3 linked regions of the Callithrix jacchus genome follow. The protein of the gene in region 1 purifies or fractionates together with the protein of each later gene. This does not show direct contact. Links are inferred from orthologs where the notes say so. Each region holds a gene or a part of one and is shown in the gene's direction. Other genes may lie near its edges. The genes, in order: LGALS3BP, MYCBP2 and HSP90AB1.

Region 1 (3,095 bases):
TTTTTTTTGAGATGGAGTCTCACTCTGTCGGCCAGGCTGGAGTACAGCAATGTGATTTCAGCTCACTGCAACCTCGGCCTCCTGAGTTCAAGTGATTCTCCTGCCTCAGCCTTCTGAGTAGCTGGGATCACAGGTACCTGCCACCACACCTGGCTGATTTTTGTATTTTTTAGTAAAGACGGTGCTTTGCCATGCTGGCCAGGCTGGTCTTGAACTCCTAGCCTTAAGTGATCTGCAACCTCGGCCTCTGAAAGTGCTGGGATTACCACACCCAGCCTGAAAGCAAACACTTTGGATGGCGCAGAAGCCCTGTGGGTCCTGCTCCAATGGAACTGTGTCACCCATGCCTGGCTTGTGATGGTGGCTGGAGCTTGGGCAGGTTCAAGACCTTAGCTGGGCTCATTTGCTCTGGCCCTGAAACTCCACTCCAGGGAGTTTATATTCTTGAAACAATTTCCCCTCAAAAGAGAAGTCTGTAGGCAGAAGATTTTCACTGATGCAGCAGTTGCGATTCTGGGAAAAAGAGAAATAATCCACCCACTATTTAGCAGCAAGGATAGTCACACAATTGCAGTATATGAACCTGATGTCGCAGGGATAGGCACACAATTAGAACACATGAATCTGATGTCTGCAGCAGCCAGTAAGCTTTATAAGCATGAAGGCTAAGTTCATGGCCTGACGTTGCAATCACAAATCCAACCCACGCTGGAATATCCACCATGGTTTACCGGTGAAGGACCTGCCCGGCCGGCGCGGGGAACAAAGGGCTGAGTTTCGCTGTGGGGCTGCTGGGTGCAGTCCTCAGGCCCCCAGCCCTGCCATCTGCTGCGTCCACAGGATCGGGCCCCATCATGCTGGATGAGGTCCAGTGCACGGGAACTGAGCCCTCGCTGGCTGACTGCACATCTCTGGGCTGGCTGCACAGCAACTGCAGGCACGAGAGGGACGCTGGTGTGGTGTGCACCAACGGTGAGTGGGGGGTTCCAGCATGCCTTGGGGGCCTGTGGCCCCTGCCCCTCCCAGCACCTCCCCAACACACGTGAAGCACACAAAGGTTCCTTCCACCACTACCTGCCCACTCCGAATGGAGAGGCCCTGAATCCAGAGAGCCCACCAGCTCCCAGTCCCCCAGGCCCAGACTCCTCCCCAGCCCCTTCTGGAGAAACACCCCAAGGAACCTGAGTGGGAGGCAGTGAGACACAGCCCCAGTGAGCACGACACCTGGCTCCACCTGACCTGAAATGCCAGTGCCCGCTTGGAAACACTCCCCAGCGTGACAGGCTCAAGCGCATCCTGGCAGAGGAGGCCCAGTTACTGACAGCCGCAGCCTGCTTCTCCCAACCCACCCTGATTTGCAGGGAACCCAGGCAGCTCTGCAGGCTAAAGCCCCTGGATCTGAGTTTTTTGTTGTTGTTTTTGAGATGAAGTCTCACTCTGTCACCCAGGTTGGAGTGCAGTGGCACAATCTCAGCTCTCTGCCCTCTGCCTCCTGGGTTCAAACAATTCTGCCTCAGCCTCCTGAGTAGCTGGGATTACAGGCACTTGCCACCAAGCCTGGCTAATTTTTGTATTTTAGTAGAGACGGTTTCACCATGTTGGTCAGGCTGGACTTGAACTCCTGACCTGGTGATCCACCCAACTTGGCCTCCACAGTGCTGGGATTACAGGCATGAGCCACTGCACCCGGCTGGATTTGAGTTTCATGGTTTTCTTTCCTCTCCTGCTGCCGAGGTGGCTCTTCCTGGGCTTGCCACCCACTACCCTTTGTCAGGAGCCCCTAAGACAGGAGGGATCGAATCCCAGGGAGCCCCTGTGCTCACAGGGGACAAACAAGTAGCTGGAGCTGAGCCTGGCCTCACAGTGGGGGAAGCCCAGGAGACACCATGGGGCTGTCGGGGGTTCGGTGGGGGGAGGCGGGTGGGAGGAGCACGTGGGGCCGTGGGTGCAGGGCAAAGGCTCCTGTGGCAGGGGAGCTGTGGTGAAGAGCAGGTGGGAGGGAGCTGGGGCCTCAGGTGTGAGGAGGCCCAGGGCGAGCCCACCTGGTTGAAACCTCACAATTACTTCAAATCTATTAAAGCCTTTGTGGCAAAGAAAGAACTTATGGGATTTAGTTTTGAGTTAGGCTTTGAGAGGGCTCAAAGAAGGGGGAAGGGTGCAGCACACTGACTCCCGACCCGCGAGCCTCCCATGACTTCTCCAGGCCTTGTGCCTCACAGGAGGCTGCTTGGGGACCCCCAGAGTTCTAAAATGGGGTTGCCACAGGACCCTGACTTTTCAGGCCATCTAAGCAGGTAGTGGTTTTGGTTTGAGGTAGGCAGCGTCTGTGGTGATTGACTGAATGAGGCTGGGGAGTGGGGCTCCGAGTCAGCACCACCAAGTCCCCAGGCGGGACTGCTGCCTGAATCCGAGGGAGCAGAACGCAGCAGAGGACCTTTAGCGGGGATCTGGACAGGATTGGCCAGGTCTCAGCTGCTCTGGTTCCGCGAGGCTGGAAGAGGTGGGGCCTCGGGGTTGAAAGGGGTAGAGCTCGGGATGGGAAAGGGTGGGGCCTCAGGGCTGGAAGGGGTGAGCCTCGGGGCTGGGAAGGGGTAGGGCCTCAGGGCTGAAAGGGGTGGGCCTCGGGGCTGGAAGGGGTAGGGCCTCAGGGCTGGAAGGGGTGGGCCTCGGGGCTGAAATGGGTAGAGCTCGGGGCTGGAAGGGGTGGGCCTCGAGGCTGAACGGGGTGGGGCCTCAGGGCTGGAAGGGGTGGGGCCTCAGGGCTGGAAGGGGTGGGCCTCGGGGGCTGGAAGGGGTGGGCCTCGGGGGCTGGAAGGGGTAGAGCTCGGGGCTGGAAGGGGTGGGGCCTCGGGGCTGGAAGGGGTGTGCCTCGGGGCTGAAAGGGGTGGGGCTCGGGGCTGGAAGGGGTGGGGCCTCAGGGCTGGAAGGGGTGGGCCTCGGGGCTGGAAGGGGTGGGGCCTCGGGGCTGGAAGGGGTGGGCCTCGGGGCTGAAAGGGATGGGGCTCGGGGCTGGAAGGGGTGGGGCCTCAGGGCTGGAAGGGGTGGGGCCTCAGGGCTGGAAGGGGTGGGCCTCGAGGCTGGAAGGGGTGGGCCTT
Region 2 (3,655 bases), on another chromosome or scaffold:
CTTTTGAAATGTCCATGCATCATACAATGAAGTCTAAATCTCCTCTTCCCTTAACTTTGCAACATTTAGTGGCTTTTTGGGAAGACATCTCTTTGGCTACTATCAAAGCTGCTTCCCAGAATATGATTTTTCCAAGTCCTGGTTCCTGTGCAGTTCTTAAAAAGAAAGAATGTGAGAAAGAGAATAAGAAGGCCAAAAAGGAAAAAAAGAAAAAAGAAAAGGCAGAAGTTAGGCCCAGGGGTAATTTGTTTGGAGAGATGGCCCAGCTGGCAGTGGGAGGACCAGAGAAAGATACCATCTGTGAACTCTGTGGGGAGTCACATCCGTACCCGGTGACCTATCACATGAGACAAGCCCACCCAGGTAAAGGATACTGTCCAATGTACATAAAAGTACTTTTTTCTTTAATGAATGGGATCACTTCATTTGAGCTGTTCTATGAATTATATCAAAGGATAGAAAGTTTATAGTATCTTAGAACGTCATTTTTAAAGTACATTATCCATACAGGGTTTTGTGAAAAACAGATAAAAGAAATTCTAACAGTATGATGGCCAGGTCATTTAGTGCTATTTTACTTTCCTGTAGCATGTTTCAAAAAATTTTATGTGTTACACAAAGGGTGCCGTTAAGGTGTCTGTCTCACACAATAGAAACAATGGCATGACCGTACCCACAGGCCATCTCCTTTTATTTTAGTATTTTCCTGTTCACAATTGCAGACTAAATTAGATTATACTGATTTTTGTAGGCTGCTTCCTATGAAAGTGACATTGATTGATAAGAAGACTGCATTTTCAGTAAATGTAAGGATTTCTGTAACATTGATCAATAGTCCAAATTCACCTAGTACAAATTTGGTTAATTTTTTTCTTTGTCTACATATTATACCTCGAATGTTTTATCAATATGTGATTTCTGAAAATATATCATTGTTATAGAACTGTTATACTTGTTTTGTCTCATTTTATTGACATAATTAAGTATATCTAAATGTACCTGTATCCTATCTTTTTTTTAATCATTCTGAATAGAAACTAAGTATCTCTAATATTTTGGGCATCATTTAATTGATTGCTTTTGATCAGGTAACCTATTTTTCTGATATAGTTAGTAGCCTGAAAATCAGGTGTCTACTTGAGTATTTTGCTTTCTTTGAGACGGTCAATCTGTCATTAATGTACGAGTAGTAAGGATTAAACTATTAAGGCCACTTCGAGTGTTAAATATTTATTTTTGTTATTGTTTCAAGGTTGTGGCCGGTATGCTGGTGGACAAGGATATAATAGTATTGGGCATTTTTGTGGAGGATGGGCTGGTAACTGTGGTGATGGTGGCATAGGAGGAAGCACGTGGTACCTGGTATGTGATCGTTGTAGAGAAAAATACCTCCGTGAAAAACAGGCTGCTGCAAGGGAGAAGGTATTTGATTCCATTCGGAGCTATACTTTTAATGATATGGATACACTTTATAAAAATCGCATTTTGTGATCTTATTATTACGTCAGATAATTCCACATAGTTGATATTAAAGATCAGCTTCTACAGTGGAAATCATGTATAAATTTAATATTTGTACTAAGTCACCTGTTCATAAGTTTAAAAAATAGCTATATATTGGAATAACACTAGATAATTAACCTGTGCTACATACGCCTTATTGACAAATATGTGTTGTACCTCTTCATTATTGTCTGTTACTCTCTACATATACAGACCCTTCCTTTTCACCTTCCTTCTCTTTTCTCTTCCTCTTTTTTTGACTCCTTTATTTTCCTATTTCATATCTATTCTCTCTTTTCCTTATTCACCTTAGTGGCATACCTAACCAAAAAATTTTGCTGAATAACACACTAAGATGATTTACTCTTTTTAAAATGAATTATTTTTAGATTTAACTGGTTAGGTATTATATTTTTCTGAAGAAAGTAAGGAAGCATAGTTTGTGTTTGATACAAAATAGTCTCACTCAGCCCAGGACAAATATGAAGTAAATGTTGTCTTTTATAATCTTATTATTTTAAAATAGTTTTACAAGTGTTCAATAATTTTTAATGGGAAACTCAAAATACTTAGCTTAGGAAACCAAGGATTTTAATGTAAGTCAGGAAGGATCACTTTGATTTTTTTCTTTGCCAGGTCAAACAATCCAGGAGGAAACCAATGCAAGTCAAGACCCCCCGTGCCTTGCCCACCATGGAAGCTCACCAAGTGATTAAAGCCAACGCACTCTTCCTGCTGTCCCTGAGCAGCGCAGCAGAACCAAGCATTCTGTGTTACCATCCTGCAAAGCCGTTCCAATCTCAGTTGCCCAGCGTGAAAGAAGGCATTTCTGAGGATCTGCCTGTGAAAATGCCCTGTCTCTACCTGCAGACATTAGCTAGGTAATAAAATTTTGGTTTTTCTTTTTTTTAATCACCTGTGGATTAACGGTGATTGTTTACTGACCTACACTTCATTAGATGTGGTACTATAAAGAAACTTCCAGGCATTTGTTTGAGTTTCCTTGACTGACATACGACTTTATGGTAATAGGTATTTTAAAAACTATAAAAATGCTTCATCAATTTGCATTGTTACGAATAAAAAATATGTCTTAGAAAATAAGACTGTAGCTATCTTTTACTCTTTGGTAGGCTGACTTCAGTCTGTTAGTGGGAAATGCTGAAGTAGAAAGAAAGTGATGTTTCCTGTAGCAGACTTTTATTTTGTAAATTATTCATTCTGTTAGCATTTAAATGAGTACCAGTATTAAATTAGCACCAGTATTGTGCTAATGAATGAATGAGTATAACAAAAAAAAGGTCCTGAATGAATGAATATAACAAAATCCTGGCTTCTGTGTACTCATACTCCGATGTCAAGTCAGGCATGTCAGTGAAACATTTGAAATGCTGTGTGAGAAGTGCTACAATAGAAGCATGTATGTAGGGTGTTAGGATTTTGAGACGGTCTGTTCACAGGATCCTTAACTCTGGTGTCTTGAGGTGCGTCCTGTGACATCCTCCAGATGTTTTCTTAAACCCCTTCTCCTTACACTCCTTTAGCATTTCTGTTCTTCCCTGCCATTGTCCCATTTCCTCCTTGAGAGTTGGTCCATTTCTGAAACATTGGTGGGGTGCCCTTCAAAGTCTGTTGGGCAACAAATACTAAGCCCTGTAAGGTCAGCAAAAGGTTAATTGGTTTCTGTATCAATCTATTTAACAACAATTTTTAACATTCAATCTATTTAACATTCAGTTTTTTGAATGTGCGGTATATTAACGTCCAGAAGTAAAGATAGAGGGTAGCTACCCTTCTCTAAGTAAGTTCATGTAACCCTGTGAGGGTACCCATCTCCCCCGGGATGGGAGGTTCTTGGCCTCTCTAACCCCAAAGAATGGAGAAAGGGGGGTTGGAGGCGCGGTGACTTTGCCTTTCAAATAAATATCGTGGACCCAAAGAGTTTTGTTGAAAAGTGATTTATTAGACAAAGAGAGAAAGAAGACCACTCCCACGCTGTCATGGGAGGGGACCCCAGAGAGGGAAATCCTATAGGTAAGGAGCAGCTGAAGTTTTAACCCTTGAATTATTCCCTCCCCATTCATGTTCTCGTCCAATGAGAGAAGTTCTTTCAAACTTCCTCTGGAGAAATTGATCTTTGACATCAGATTGG
Region 3 (2,677 bases), on another chromosome or scaffold:
ATGCCAAGGCAGGAGAATCACTTGAATCTAGGACTTTAAGGGCAACATAGCAAGATCTTGTTTCTGCAAAAAAAAAAAAAATATTAAGTGGCCATGGTAGCATGTGCCTGTAGTCCAGCTACGTGGGAGTGTGGCTTGAGCCTGGGAGGTCCAGGCTGCAGTGAGCTGTGATCCTTAACATTGCACCGTAGCTTGAGCGACAGAGCCAGAGCCTGTCTTAAAGGGAAAACAAAAGCAAATTCCTATTTGTATTTTCAGGCCTTGGACAAGATTCGCTATGAGAGCCTGACAGACCCTTCAAAGTTGGACAGTGGTAAAGAGCTGAAAATTGACATCATCCCCAACCCTCAGGAACGTACCTTGACTTTGGTAGACACGGGCATTGGCATGACCAAAGCAGATCTCATAAATAATTTGGGAACCATTGCCAAGTCTGGTACTAAAGCATTCATGGAGGCTCTTCAGGTATGTGCAGTTTTGCAGGCACACACCATTCATATTTGTCAGTGTGCTTTGGTTTGTTGCTTTTCGAAAACTTGTGTTTGACTTTAAATAACTTGTTGGCAGGCTGGTGCAGACATCTCCATGATTGGGCAATTTGGTGTTGGCTTTTATTCTGCCTACCTGGTGGCAGAGAAAGTGGTTGTGATCACAAAGCACAATGATGATGAACAGTATGCCTGGGAGTCTTCTGCTGGAGGTTCCTTCACTGTGCGTGCTGACCATGGTAAGCTCTCCCGTTACAAGTTAAGCTGGGTTGGAGTTTTCTGGGCTTGTGAAGTGGCAGAAATTTTTAGCATCCTGTTTGTAAAGCAGTTGAAATTATAGCAGCCTCGCTAATATACTTTTTTTTTTTTTTTTTTGGCTTGGTGAAGTCTTAACTGCTTTTATATTTTCACCCTGTTACATGCTTGTGACTGACTCTTGTAGGTGAGCCCATTGGCAGGGGTACCAAAGTGATCCTCCACCTTAAAGAAGATCAGACAGAGTACTTAGAAGAAAGGCGGGTCAAAGAAGTAGTGAAGAAGCACTCTCAGTTCATAGGCTATCCCATCACCCTCTATGTGAGTGTGGACTTTTAAACCTTTTTCACTTAACGTGCAGGGTGTTTCCTGTTCTGGAGTCATCATGGGCCCTGGCTTTTGCTTTCCCTGTTAGTGGTTAGTACTCAAGGCTAACTTTTGTTTTTGTTGTTTAGTTGGAGAAGGAACGAGAGAAGGAAATTAGTGATGATGAGGCAGAGGAAGAGAAAGGTGAGAAAGAAGAGGAAGATAAAGATGATGAAGAAAAGCCCAAGATTGAAGATGTGGGTTCAGACGAGGAGGATGATAGTGGTAAGGATAAGAAGAAGAAAACTAAGAAGATCAAAGAGAAATACATTGATCAGGAAGAACTAAACAAGACTAAGCCTATTTGGACTAGAAACCCTGATGACATCACTCAAGAGGAGTATGGAGAATTCTACAAAAGCCTCACCAATGACTGGGAAGACCACTTGGCAGTCAAGGTGAGAAGCCCTTGCACATTGGCTCAACATACAAATATGGAGAGGAGTGAGTAGGTGGCGTTTTGGCAGGTAATAGACACATGGAACTTGTCCTCCTGATCACAGAAATGTTGAGAACCATGTGATTTCATTGATTACCCTGTCACAGTGAGGAGCTATCCTTCCTAATGACCTCACTTTGTCTTCTGATGGTAATCTTGGTAATGTCTGCCCCTGATCATTGAGAGCATTAAGGCTCGGTTTTCTAGAGAGCTGCCTGTTGTGTGTGCTTTGTCCTTTAGGCTTAGGGAGGATCATTGTTCCACTTTTAGGTAATTTGTTGGGGCTAAAAGGCACTCTTTGGAAATGTACTACTACTTGTTTATGTTTGGATTCTTTCAGCACTTTTCTGTAGAAGGTCAGTTGGAATTCAGGGCATTGCTATTCATTCCTCGTCGGGCTCCCTTTGACCTTTTTGAGAACAAGAAGAAGAAGAACAACATCAAACTCTATGTCCGTCGTGTATTCATCATGGACAGCTGTGATGAGTTGATACCAGAGTATCTCAGTGAGTATGTCCTTGGCATAATTTAGTTGGGTGAAGTCTTGGGGCAAGGTTTTCAACATTCTGCAACTAAAAAGTCTTATTCCTAGGTGTAATAGTTCTCTGCAATACATAGTGTGTGAGGGTTCAGGGGGCAATAGCGCCTTCTCTTTGAATCTGGGTACCAGGTCTGGTCTAGCTGTTTTTACTGAGTTTTCTCATCCTGGTTGATGGCAGACTTTATCCGTGGTGTGGTTGACTCTGAGGATTTGCCTCTGAACATCTCCCGAGAAATGCTCCAACAGAGCAAAATCTTGAAAGTCATTCGCAAAAACATTGTTAAGAAATGCCTTGAGCTCTTCTCTGAGCTGGCAGAAGACAAGGAGAATTATAAGAAATTCTATGAGGCATTCTCTAAAAATCTCAAGGTAAGGAGGCACATGGTTATTCCCTTTACCACTTTCTTAGTAATTACGATAAATTCTACCATTCTTATAGAAGGCAAGGTTATTTTAGTTAAGTTGGATTGTTTTTTTCTCTTCCCACTCTTCAAGCTTGGAATTCACGAGGATTCCACTAACCGTCGCCGCCTGTCTGAGCTGCTGCGCTATCACACCTCCCAGTCTGGAGATGAGATGACATCTCTG

Evidence for each region.
Region 2: the proteins of LGALS3BP (region 1) and MYCBP2 purify together in Homo sapiens (co-immunoprecipitation; 3 studies listed by BioGRID and IntAct, counting the BioPlex papers as one, with this or other methods). This does not show direct contact. The link is inferred for Callithrix jacchus from reciprocal best matches to the Homo sapiens genes LGALS3BP and MYCBP2.
Region 3: the proteins of LGALS3BP (region 1) and HSP90AB1 purify together in Homo sapiens (affinity purification with mass spectrometry; 3 studies listed by BioGRID and IntAct, with this or other methods). This does not show direct contact. The link is inferred for Callithrix jacchus from reciprocal best matches to the Homo sapiens genes LGALS3BP and HSP90AB1.

The regions. Positions count from the first base shown.
Region 1 is NC_133506.1:134,722,325-134,725,419, reverse strand, and holds part of LGALS3BP (galectin-3-binding protein), read left to right. Parts: intron 1-840; coding exon 841-972; intron 973-3,095.
Region 2 is NC_133502.1:38,207,440-38,211,094, forward strand, and holds part of MYCBP2 (E3 ubiquitin-protein ligase MYCBP2), read left to right. Parts: coding exon 1-363; intron 364-1,252; coding exon 1,253-1,422; intron 1,423-2,139; coding exon 2,140-2,384; intron 2,385-3,655. UniProt on the Homo sapiens protein: Atypical E3 ubiquitin-protein ligase which specifically mediates ubiquitination of threonine and serine residues on target proteins, instead of ubiquitinating lysine residues.
Region 3 is NC_133505.1:52,714,834-52,717,510, forward strand, and holds part of HSP90AB1 (heat shock protein HSP 90-beta), read left to right. Parts: intron 1-258; coding exon 259-465; intron 466-567; coding exon 568-727; intron 728-930; coding exon 931-1,064; intron 1,065-1,198; coding exon 1,199-1,507; intron 1,508-1,888; coding exon 1,889-2,054; intron 2,055-2,267; coding exon 2,268-2,458; intron 2,459-2,584; coding exon 2,585-2,677. UniProt on the Homo sapiens protein: Molecular chaperone that promotes the maturation, structural maintenance and proper regulation of specific target proteins involved for instance in cell cycle control and signal transduction. Undergoes a functional cycle linked to its ATPase activity.